3 linked regions of the Oreochromis niloticus genome follow. The protein of the gene in region 1 purifies or fractionates together with the protein of each later gene. This does not show direct contact. Links are inferred from orthologs where the notes say so. Each region holds a gene or a part of one and is shown in the gene's direction. Other genes may lie near its edges. The genes, in order: nck1b, pdgfrb and git1.

The links.
Region 2: the proteins of nck1b (region 1) and pdgfrb purify together in Homo sapiens (affinity purification with western blotting; 3 studies listed by BioGRID and IntAct, with this or other methods). This does not show direct contact. The link is inferred for Oreochromis niloticus from reciprocal best matches to the Homo sapiens genes NCK1 and PDGFRB.
Region 3: the proteins of nck1b (region 1) and git1 purify together in Homo sapiens (affinity purification with mass spectrometry; 4 studies listed by BioGRID and IntAct, with this or other methods). This does not show direct contact. The link is inferred for Oreochromis niloticus from reciprocal best matches to the Homo sapiens genes NCK1 and GIT1.

Annotation. Positions count from the first base shown.
Region 1 is NC_031974.2:17,862,853-17,866,680, reverse strand, and holds the start of nck1b (cytoplasmic protein NCK1), read left to right. Parts: upstream 1-1,306; 5' UTR 1,307-1,579; intron 1,580-3,828. UniProt on the Homo sapiens protein: Adapter protein which associates with tyrosine-phosphorylated growth factor receptors, such as KDR and PDGFRB, or their cellular substrates. Maintains low levels of EIF2S1 phosphorylation by promoting its dephosphorylation by PP1.
Region 2 is NC_031966.2:25,212,979-25,216,578, forward strand, and holds the start of pdgfrb (platelet-derived growth factor receptor beta), read left to right. Parts: upstream 1-1,081; 5' UTR 1,082-1,659; intron 1,660-3,600. UniProt on the Homo sapiens protein: Tyrosine-protein kinase that acts as a cell-surface receptor for homodimeric PDGFB and PDGFD and for heterodimers formed by PDGFA and PDGFB, and plays an essential role in the regulation of embryonic development, cell proliferation, survival, differentiation, chemotaxis and migration.
Region 3 is NC_031979.2:10,581,270-10,585,097, reverse strand, and holds the start of git1 (ARF GTPase-activating protein GIT1), read left to right. Parts: upstream 1-890; 5' UTR 891-981; exon of another isoform or gene 982-1,083; 5' UTR 1,084-1,307; coding exon 1,308-1,359; intron 1,360-1,411; exon of another isoform or gene 1,412-1,590; intron 1,591-2,309; coding exon of another isoform or gene 2,310-2,325; exon of another isoform or gene 2,326-2,448; intron 2,449-3,828. Other genes in the region: ankrd13b (ankyrin repeat domain-containing protein 13B), read right to left, coding at 2,310-2,325. UniProt on the Homo sapiens protein: GTPase-activating protein for ADP ribosylation factor family members, including ARF1.

The DNA of each region.
Region 1 (3,828 bases):
AAGGACAAAATGAGGATGCAGAGTGGATGAAAAGAGGGGATGATGCTTGCTCACAGCTGACACAAACGCATGATTCACTGATAGCCCAGCAGGTGGCATTCAGGATCCGCTTCATTTCTTAGACTGCTAGAGCTAGGAAATTATTTTACTTCAGAAAGCCAGGAAGCTAATGTTTTGCGTATGCAGTAGAAATGAAAGCATATTGATGGAGCAAATTGATCTGAAACTGTACACAGCTGATGACAATCTATTGATTAATTAACTTTTTTGCACACAAATAGGTGATAAATGTCATGGTACAAGTATTATACCCTTTTTACAGCAACAATATAAGCAGTAAATCAAATCCGTCTGTGTAATGACAATCTACTACTATTGAATAAATACAAAATGACTAAAACAACAAGCTAGATCCATTTGCAGCGAAAATGTGGACAAAATCTTTCTCAAGCTAATAAGAAAGTGACTCAAAACACATTCCACCATGCCATATTTTATTTTAATTAGTCTAATTTATATTAAAAAGTGAAGAGAAGTATTAGGTGGGGTTTATAATCCACTATACATGCAGTATTATAGTCTTGTTTTGGGTGCAGATCACAGAATACATGTAGGGCAGGCCCATCTGTTTGAGCAGGAAACAGATTGCATCCTGCAGCGAGTTGCACAGCCTTCCAAATTACTCTGCAAGTCTCTTCACCACAGACACGTTTAATAGATGTATCATCATTTCACATGTGGAGCCCGAATGGGATTGGATGACGAGTTACTTTATGTAGATTCGTTTTTGTGTATTGCACGGTTGGTGATGACTGGGCACTTCTTTGAAATGCTTATTAATCCCGAGATAACTACAGTTGTCATATACTAAAAACACGTAGGCAGCACTTAACGTAATGCTTGCTGAAGGGCAAGCTTGCACTAAATAGTATCACCTGGTTATTTTTTTTAAAATGTATTTTATTTTAGCAAGTATACTACAGAACATCAATTTTTACTAGCCTAAATTATAGTTTGGGTCTTGTGCTAAAGTCCCTCTCACTACTTATCTTTCTTTTGGATACCAAAACATTAAACAATACGTGATGCAATAGTCAGACTCACATTCCATCTCTCTTTTCATACACAAGTCTATCAATGGTAGAGATTTGATCGATTCTTTACCCTCACAGAGAAGAAAAACATGACGAATGCTTAGGGGAAAGCAAAGCACCAGCAGCTGCAGTGGGATTAACGGACAGTGTCATTGTCCAATCACAGAGTCCAGATTCTCCCTCAGCCAATCGCGTGGCAGCAGGCGGGACCCAGAGAGCGTCTGAACTGCTTGTGTAGCTGCGGCTAGTTAGCTTAGCCGTGCTGCTGAGCGATGACATGCACTGATGCAGAAATGCTATTCCAACGGGGCACGGCGTCTCGTCAGCTAGGCTAGCTTCTTGGAGTGGGGAAAAAAAAGGGGAAAAAAAACCCTGGCTGTTTAGCTAGGATTCTGGATGCCGTTTCCGTGCATCTTCAGCTGCTGTGTGTAACCCTTTAACATATTTCCAAAAGGACATAAGAAGAGGTGGCCGTCAGGAATCAGGTAAGACGTGGTATGACTAGAGCAGGGTATGAATCTGAGCTGCCGCTGATGGTGAAGCTCTGTGATACAGACTGCTGCAATAACGGTTCTCCAGCGTTAAAGCTCACGCAAGCTAACAGCTAAACGTTAACCTAGACTGAAAAAGAAAAGGAGAGAGAGACAAAAACACCTAGTGTCCTTGCCAGCATGGTCAGCATACTGTTACCCAGCTGGCAGACGGTTAGTCTGGCTGTAACCACTAAAAGCATATGGGAGAATTTTCTTAGCCAGGTTAATGTTAGCCGTTTTAGCGTGACACGCTGTCAAGCTCAGGTTATAAGGTAAAAACTCCACCAAAACTGCTACACTTCTTTATCATCTTTATACTTCTTTTCGTTCAAGCGGGCACCACGTAAACACTTCTATTTGTAAGAATGACAATTAAATGAAGCCACAGTGATATTAAACCGTTTGATCCACTTTACAGTTTATACTTAAATGCAGCTTTATTTTTTTCTTATTATATCTTAGGATTAAGTTTTCAATTGCGTACTGAGTTGAACTCGCTTGGTCGTGGTCACGATGTGGTTCACTAGTATTGGGTTTTGCTTCAAGTAGCCATAATTAGTCATAGCCGGTCCATCACTTCAATGTTCACCCAGTGATACCCAGTTGGCTTGGTATCCCTTTATTTGGACCAGTAGTGCGCAACCTAAAGGTATTCTGTCCTAGAGATTTAAAATGCAGGAGAAATCTCCACCTTGGAGAACATACAACAATGAATTATTTTTTTCTGTTTTTATCTAAACTCAATTTGTGGATAAATATCTACCTGTATAATACGTGCAAAACGCATTTGAGCTTACATATACCTAGTTGGATCGCTTAGATCTTGTTTTGGGCAAGATTTTGGGTAATTGCACACTTTGTTTATCTCGTAACATTGTTTCTACCTTACACAACCCAAGCTAGACTAAATGTCATTCTTAGAAGCACAATGGGGCAGTTCGTCTGTATAACTCCTGGCGAGCCCTTGCGGCTTTTGTTTGTGTGGCCTTTTACAAAATTTGGTGCAACACTCAACAGATTATTCCAGCTTGAGGTTTTTGTATTGCAGGTATTTATTTGATGATTTGTGGTTAATTATATCTGAGCGATTTATGGGAGTAGCCTGCACGTCTCTGCAACCAAATACTAGCGACTGGTTAAGAATTACTCTGTAATTATTGTCACAAGTTAGTTTTCAAGGAGGTGAGAGGAGGCGGAGGAGGAAGAGAGAGGCATTTGCTCTGCTGTTGCTTTCTTCTCAGTTGGAGTCACAGAGAGGGCATCCACAGCTTGCAGGAAGAAATGGTGATGCCATTCTTATCAGCATTTCGTACTTGAAGGCTTGCATTTGATTTTCATCTTAACACATGGAAACTGCAATTAGGCAAACTATTTTAAAAATTTGCACCTGTCAGCTGCCATGTCATGAGCTTCTGTGCAGAAGTGAGGACTGTTCCTTCACTCAGATATACTCCTTGTGTACTCCTGTAATAGTCATACATCCCACACTATAATGGTGCTCTTGTTTGGATTTTATGACAGAATAATCTTATGTGTATGAAGGCGTTATCCTTTTTTTGTTTGGCTATGCCCTTTCCTCTTTTCCGAGTGTCCGGCTACCAGTGGCCTCCAGCAGCCAAATCTGTCCTCGCAGCCCAGGGTAAAATACCAACTGCGCTTTTCTCAATGGCTAAAATTTCCCTCAGAGCTCAGAAGCTAGTTTATAAAGTCACTTTTCTTTCTTTCTGTTTTTTTTTTTTTTTTTTTTTGGTTTTTTTTTTTTTTTTGGGCTTCTTATGAAGTTGAGAAATGGGGAATTTTTTTTTCTTTTTTCCGCAATTGCCTCTTTGCATGTTATCGCCCTAATCTCTGTTATTGCATACATTCTCTTCCATTTCCTCTTTCTTTTTTTTCTTTTTTTTTGTGCCCGACTGCTCATGCATGCAGATGTTTGAAGAGTAAATAACAGACGTTTTCTGTATACATTAACTGTGACAGAACATGACGGAGCAACAGCTTCTGCTTGGTGTGCCCTGGCAAAGGGCAAAAAAGGCGAGTAATGAGCAAAACACTGAAACCAAAAAAAGGGGGGAAAAAGGAGAAATTTCAGCTTAACTACTAAAGCAAAGTCGTAAGGAAGTGCCCAGTTATTGTTTCTTGTTTGGACTAAGTTTTCCAACTTTTGTAAAAGTGTACTGTCCCGGCTGTATTTGCTGTTTTGT
Region 2 (3,600 bases), on another chromosome or scaffold:
TGCATTGTATCAAGATGCTAAAATTACATGTGATAATAAAATGAAAAGACCCCCTAAGATTCTAGCATCCTGTTATTATCGGTGAATTTCTGCGGGTGTTTCGACAGAGTTCGTGTCTTATCTCATGCTGATAAAGGATTGTGTGTGCATGAGTGTTTACATACGTGACTGACGAGCACGTTATTGCTGTATTACTGCCTTTTTATCTTTTGGGTCTACAGTTTTATTGACATTACAAGCAATGAAACGCCTACAAATAGATTCAAGAGTTCAAATAAGTGGATTTAGAGCAGGTTTATTGCAAGTAGGTGCTAATTACATAGGCAGAATTAGAAAGATATAAAAGGAGGAACTGTCCCTGTGTGGTGTTCCTCCCCTCCTATCTAATAACTGGAGGGGGCTTTCTGGCACTCTAATTAGTGCGAGCAGGTCTTTTAGATTTGCCCTCTCAATTAGAGGAGAACATGTTAGTTTCCAATTTAGCTCCTGTTCCCCTCCGCCCCCCGTCTGCCCCGACCTGCTTGTTAGATAGAACAGGTCTTTATTCAGCTGCAGTGCTGCGTTCTGAATCTCAGATCATCCTCTCATATCCTGGGAAAGGATTGAAATAGGAAGAAGGCTAGTATTGAGAGCAGACATATTTACATGGTTTTGCTTGTGTTTATAAAAGAGAGGATAAAAGGCCAGGGAAAAAAAGGAGAAAGAAGGGGGTGAGGATGGTGGGAGGTGTTGAGTTATTTCATGCAGGGGAAAAAGAAAACACTTGAAAAAAAATATGATATAAAAAGAGATGTAAAAAACAAAGCTAGTTCACTAAAGTCCCCTTTAACCACTTTTATACCTGTTTTTAAGAGTGTGATTATATAAGGGAAGTTATTTTTCCTGAGAAACTGAGACTTCCATGTTTGTTTCCAAAGCAGGGTGCAATCAGCGCTGCCAAAACCTTTTTTTTTTTCTCCTGGCTGGACCACTCACTCACTCTCTCACTCTTTCTCCTCCTTTTTATTGTGTTTGTTGTTTTATGGAGGGGGTTAGATGCGGTCCAGATTGCCGTTGCCAATAGAGACTGTCTCAGTTCACCTCCACTCCATTCATAAACAAATCGCTCCGGCTCAGACCTCTGAGCCTCTACCTTAGAACAACAAGCAGAACTGGATTTGTATTTTGAAGTTTCGTCACTCTGTTAGAAACTTCTTGCTTTCTGCTTCAGCTCTGTTTCACTGCTCCCTCCCTCCTCTCCCTCGTCCTGCTCTCTCTCAGCTTCAGCAGGGGTGGACACTGACGCTCTGCTTAGTGTGGATCTGTCAGGGGTGGAGTGTGCACAGTTTGTGTGTGCGTGTGTGCATGTTTCTGTGGGGAACTTTTTTTTTTCTTAGAACACTCTTTCTGAGTGTGAGAGTGGAGAGAGAGAGAGAGAGACACCCATGGTGATGTGATTTGACTAAACAAACAGCCGGGCTCACTGCAGTACCTCCTCCAACGGACTCCTGGGACAGCAGAGATTAACCTCAGAGTGAACATCAGAGGGATCTATACATTTGAAGCAGCAGCCCCTGTAGAGACATCTCACTGGAAGTCTCTCCAATTTCCTTCTGCTGGCCGACAACCTTCTTGGTCAAAGAGGAAAGATTCTTCTGTGCTTCTGGGGTTCGTCTGAAGGTAAGAAGCATACTTCTCTGTCACCATCAAGTATTTTAGTATAAGTTACAGCTGCTCCACATCTGCTGGCAGAAGTAAAAAAGGGCCGTGCAAAGTGGGGAACATTCACTTATCCTGTATGGGAAGCCCACTGTGACAGATTGAGTTTCACAGCCATCTGACACAGACGCACCTCATCCTGAACACTGGACCCAAGTTTCGTATAGCTTTTTTAAACAAAAAATCTGATTTGATTTGACAAGAGAACAACCTGTAGGTCTTCGTGATGTTGTTGCTGTCTCTTGCTGGTGTTCGTTACCCACATACTTGTGTGTGTGTGTACACAACAGCCATTGCAACGCTGCGTGAAAGAGCGTAAGCAACCTGTTCAAACATCAACATAGTGATGGCTTGCATCTCTGTACACAGCAACTGTTTGACACTTTCACATTGGACAACTTTAACATTGTTTATTTTCCCACTAACAGAATGCATTTGACAAGGTGTCCCGGGGTCTAGTGTACACACAAACACAGTAGGGTTTATAGTACAAGCTGTTTGTACGCTCTCCACTTTGTGCTTCCCTGCTAAAGGGCTTGTTTGTACAGCCCTCTTCAGTCACCCAGAGTGGCGGTCCTCACCACCAAACCATCGGTCACTTTCCTCCCTTTTCAATCTTCTCTGCATTGATTCATGAAGAAGCTCATTGAAGAGCCATGGCTGTGAACTGATATCAGACCCAGCGTCTATCACTGTCAACAGCATCCTCTTTGGAGGAAACATACCACCTTAAATTTATAGTTTTATGACTCAGTCTCCCTTTTATAATGTAAATATCTCGTAAAATCAATCTGGTCTCATCTCAAGAAGTTGAGAGCCGACATAAACAATCAGTTGAATCATTGCTTCCTGTTCATCAGAAGATTTTAGTAGCTGGAGTGAGTTATATTATAGCACTGTGAGCCATTTCATGGCTGTGACACATGTGGCATACATGTCTTTTCCAACACGTGTTTTGCACCTGAAAGCCTTCCCGCCTGACTGTTGTGTATGGTTGCTTTGGTATTTAAGTTGTTGGGTTGGGTAGCTGCACATCCATCTTCTGCATACAGGGGACCTTTTTGACATGAAACCATTTGAATTAGCATCTGCTGTAATCAAAACGTTGTTGGCATGTGTTTTGTGGATGCTCTTCTCCTCCTCTGCAGACAGGAGTGTCCTTTTGAAGTTTTTGATCTTCTCTGGCTCTGTGGATGTTTCACTCCGGGCACTGTCTGGCATTGTTTTTGTAGATGAACCGCTGGAAGACTGCATGCATGTCATACTTTTACCATCAATGGTGCTAGACTGCATTGCATTCATTTCATAGTTTTAAATTCAGTTTCTACTTTCACAGCACCAACTTATAAAACACTAAATCTGCTGTGACAAATCTTTATTGTAAGATTTGCAAAACTTAGTTTAATTTCGACTCTGACAAGTGGGGATTTTCCTGTCTTGCGTCAGGCTGCTGGTATGTACTCCAGCGGAGTGCTCCTCTCCGGCCCCGATGCAGTGCAGCCCAGCCGGCTCCATTCCCCCTGGCCCAGACCTAATCCGTCGACATCAGCTGTTTCCTGGCTCTCTAGGCTTTCTGCATGCCAGCAGCTTTGAGCAAATGTGCTTCACATTATGACCATGCAGAAAACATGCCAGGAGTCTGATTTAACTCACATGTGCAGATATGTAACATTTTGAGTTCAACAACAACTTTTGAAAAATACTGATCCCATTCTGTCCTCGTTTCATTTATCCTCTGTGATTTCAACTCAAAGTTGAGCAACCCTCATCTGAAAAAACTTGTTTATAGAGGAAACACTGAGTTAAAATACTTACACACTCTCACATCATGTTATCGTGACACGGATTGGTTCATTTTTCAGATTCACAGAACAAACTCTGACTCATCCCCTGGTGGACACT
Region 3 (3,828 bases), on another chromosome or scaffold:
TGATGCCCAAAGGCGTGTAGGGCAACCTTACGCGTCAGAAACAGTGGATGGCTCCCTGCTCGCTCTGCTTAGAATAAACGCAAAAGCCCCATGAAATCATTTAGAAATAAAGATAAGGGGGGAGAAAAGCCCTCCCTTGATTGTGTCAGTAGATTGGGTTACACCTTTATTCCTTATCCACCCGTTCCTCCTCCTCTCGCTTTCTCTTCCTCGCTCTCTTTCTCCCCTGCCTACTCTAACGCGTCTATCCTCCTCCTCTCCTCCCATCCGGTGGTGACTGAGAAAGATGCATTGACAAGCTGCAATGAAATGGGCGCACACTCAGCCAATCCGCTGTCAGGGCTCTGATAAAACACATGCCTTGTGAAAAAGAAAAAGAAATCGAAATGATGCGTTTAAAGTGAACCAGGCCCACATAGCATAGGAGTGTTATAAAGGAGGTGTGGGCGTACTGTGGAGAAGGCTGGGGAGCGCACGACATGACAGCAAAAGACAAAATTCATCAAAGTTGAAATGAAAGCCAAACTTCTTGATTCTTTTTGTTCCTCTACTCTTATTCTGCGTTATTCACAGCAGATTTTTCTTGTCGACACGACAGAAAAGTGAAACAGATAAATCCAATAAATCAATAGCACTTTAATGTTTCATTTGACTGCTAAAGCTGCTCAGCCATTGAATGTTCATTAAGAGGTCAGAGAAGGTGATCACGATATTTCTGCTTAAATGGAGCAGTGTGTGTCTTATATCTAAATGCTGATTAACATCAAGTAACTTTTCTGTCAGCATGAATTTTAGATTGTGATTAAGTCCCACTCTATCGAAACCACCTCACCTTTAAGAATATAAGGTTATCATCACGCCCTGTCCCTCCCTGTCCTAAGTTGTCGGGATGTTGGGTGTGTGTGTGTGTGCGCGCTCGTGTGTGTCAGAGTGAGTGAGCGCGAGCGCGGATACTGTCAGGTAAAGAGCTGCCGTCTCTCGGTGAGTTGCAGGCAATGCAGGGAACAGATTTACTGTAGCAATATTCCGAGATGAGATCCTTTATATAAACAGATTAACTATGTTCACATAACTTGGATCCAGTCTTGGAGTTCATCAGCGAACGTGGGCGAACAGACCGCTGGAATTAACGGGAAGCTCAGTCGTCGTCAGCTGGCCGGGGGAAAAGCCGATCATACCACCCGGCTTCCGGGGATTCAGGGGCCGCATCGGTTGACGGCAGACGTCGGTCTGTAGCTCGGGGGGGAAGACGGGCGAATATTCACATCATCGCCGACATCCACCTCTCCGTTTCATCCACTTTCGAGATGTCGAGAAAGCTACAAAGAACAGAAGTCTGCGCTGACTGCAGTGCGCCAGGTAAGGAACAGAAAAAAAGAGAAAACAGACCATGGGACTGGAACAATGCGTCGATAGGGGCGACGTGGTGGGAGAACAAGGCCGAAGTTGCTGTCATTGTCAGAGGGTCTGCAGAGCAGGAAAACGGCCAGGGCTCCAAAGCGTCGTTTAGGCCCAAAATAAACACTGGAAAAAATAGGCGTGTTGCCACAACGGGAGAATATCTCTAGCTAACAGCTGCTCAACGTTAATGTAAGCCATTGAATAACTTGATAGGTATATTTATTTGACCACGGCCATATGTGAGAACGAGCAGTTTATTTGGGGCAATTTAAGATCCGAGTGTCAGCTTTATGCTGCCTTCCCACTCGAAGAGACGTTTGTTTTGATTTTCGTGACCGGGACAGACTTCCGAACACGTTAGCTTAGCTTGGCTAGCGAGCTGGCGATTTTGAGTCACTATGCAGCTGTGTGATAGAAGAATTTATGGTAGAGTGAATGTCCTGAGATATAATAATACATTTATAGCGATGAACAGCTATCATATTGTTAGCACTTGCCCGTGGCTTTTGGAGTTTGTGCTTTTTATACTGCTAGCTTAGCTATGACGTTAGCTACTTCAGCTAACTTTTGCTAAACGCCAAGTTATTGCCAAGCTGATTCAGCTAAAGCGTCAGCGACCAGTCAATAGCTTTAACAACAATTTGGCTTAAAAAATACAGTAAAGTATCAAAAACGTAACTAGAGTTTCTGTTTGTTTAACTTGATGATTTTAGAATATCTACAGTAAAGTTAAGAAATAAAATAATGAGAATTAATAGGAGTAAATTCAGTTTACAGTCATCCTAAGTTGGAGCACAATTCAACATAAACCTGAAATGAGCCATACCTGTAGTTGTACCTCAAAATCATTTAAAAGCCACCTCAGTTACATTAACCTAGTACAACACAAAGTTAATTTCTAGCTTCACCTGTCTCAGCTTTCATCCATACTGTTCAGGGCGTAGTGATTTCCACTACAGTGACCATCCATAATTCTAGGTTAGTTTCCAACCCACTTCTCCTTTGGCCCCATCTGTGTTTGTTAAAATCTGATTAGAGGCAATGTTAATAAGACCCTTCGTATGTAGCCCCAAATGCACGTGCTGTTTCAGTTCGATCCCCTTGATCATTGGTGATCTTGTGTGCCTTGCTTGCATTCATTCATGTATACATGTGCAGCAGCTGCTCTTATGACAGCTGCGACCCCTGATAACTCTAAACTGTCTATATGCTGCAGTCCAGCCTTGCATTGCACACCTTGCTATTATTACTTACTAACATGCTTCAGCACCTATTTGCCTTTTCTGGTTCCCTTTGAGTTACTTTTTACATACTGATGAAACCCCAGTTGAACTCCTTTCGTTGATACTATATTAACCTGCAGAATAACAACATGCGCATTATCTGTGACATATTAGTTATGTTTTAAAGCTTTAGTTTATTTACTAGACAAAATAAGGCATTCACAATGGTAGATGGCTTGTTCGCGTACCTGTTACTAGCCGTGCATTTCTTCTACAACCATCATCTCTCTGCATGTAGCCTCCTTGCGACTTACACACACACACACACGCACGCAGTGCTTTCTGCAAAATGCTGACCTAGCCCCCTGGTGACAGGCCACCTCCCTACTACCCAGCTTTGTGTCATACTGGGGGGATAACTCAATGGCATTGCTACAAAGGACGACTGATACTCCTTTCGTAGCCAAGCTTCAGGAGCCTTTAATGTCACACCATGGCAATCTGCACAGTTTATGGCAACAGTGAATCACATCGTCACTATAGTAAACTCTTTATTGCGCACAGATGCATTTGTTTAGGAAACTGAAACTCTTGTGCAACTATTCACAGAAGAGAACAGCGGGGTTGAGTCGATATGTTGTGTTGGTGTCCGTGTCAGGCTTTGCTGTTGTTGCTGTGTTTGGTTAAATTTAGAAGTAAGATGGAGTAAATCCGGCAAGCTGAAACTTAGTACAATTAAACACTGTATTAAAATGCATTGTGATATACACCAAATGAGCCTGAAGCTAACCCGTTAATGGCCAAAGTATACAGATGTGTGCAACATGTTATCTCAGTGTTTGAGAGTGGAGTGTAACACAATTTTAAAAACTTGCACTCATTTGTAGCATATGTTTTTGTGCAGGGTTAGCTGACACGTATAAAAACAAATGTTATACTGGATTGATGAATTAGGCCAACTTTAGGCAACATTATGCAGCAACATGCTGCAGATTTCACCAATACAGCACTGCTAATAGTCTATCCACTTCTAATAGCTTAATGGCATAGCCTCATATTGATTTAGCAGACCAGGCAGATAGCCTAGCCTGTGGGAGTTTTTTTTAATATTTATTACACAGATTAAGGAATTAAATTGCTGCGGCCTTTAAAGCCTACAGGGCTGCTGTTCTAAACTGAGCTATAGCTTTTTTTAAAAGCCATT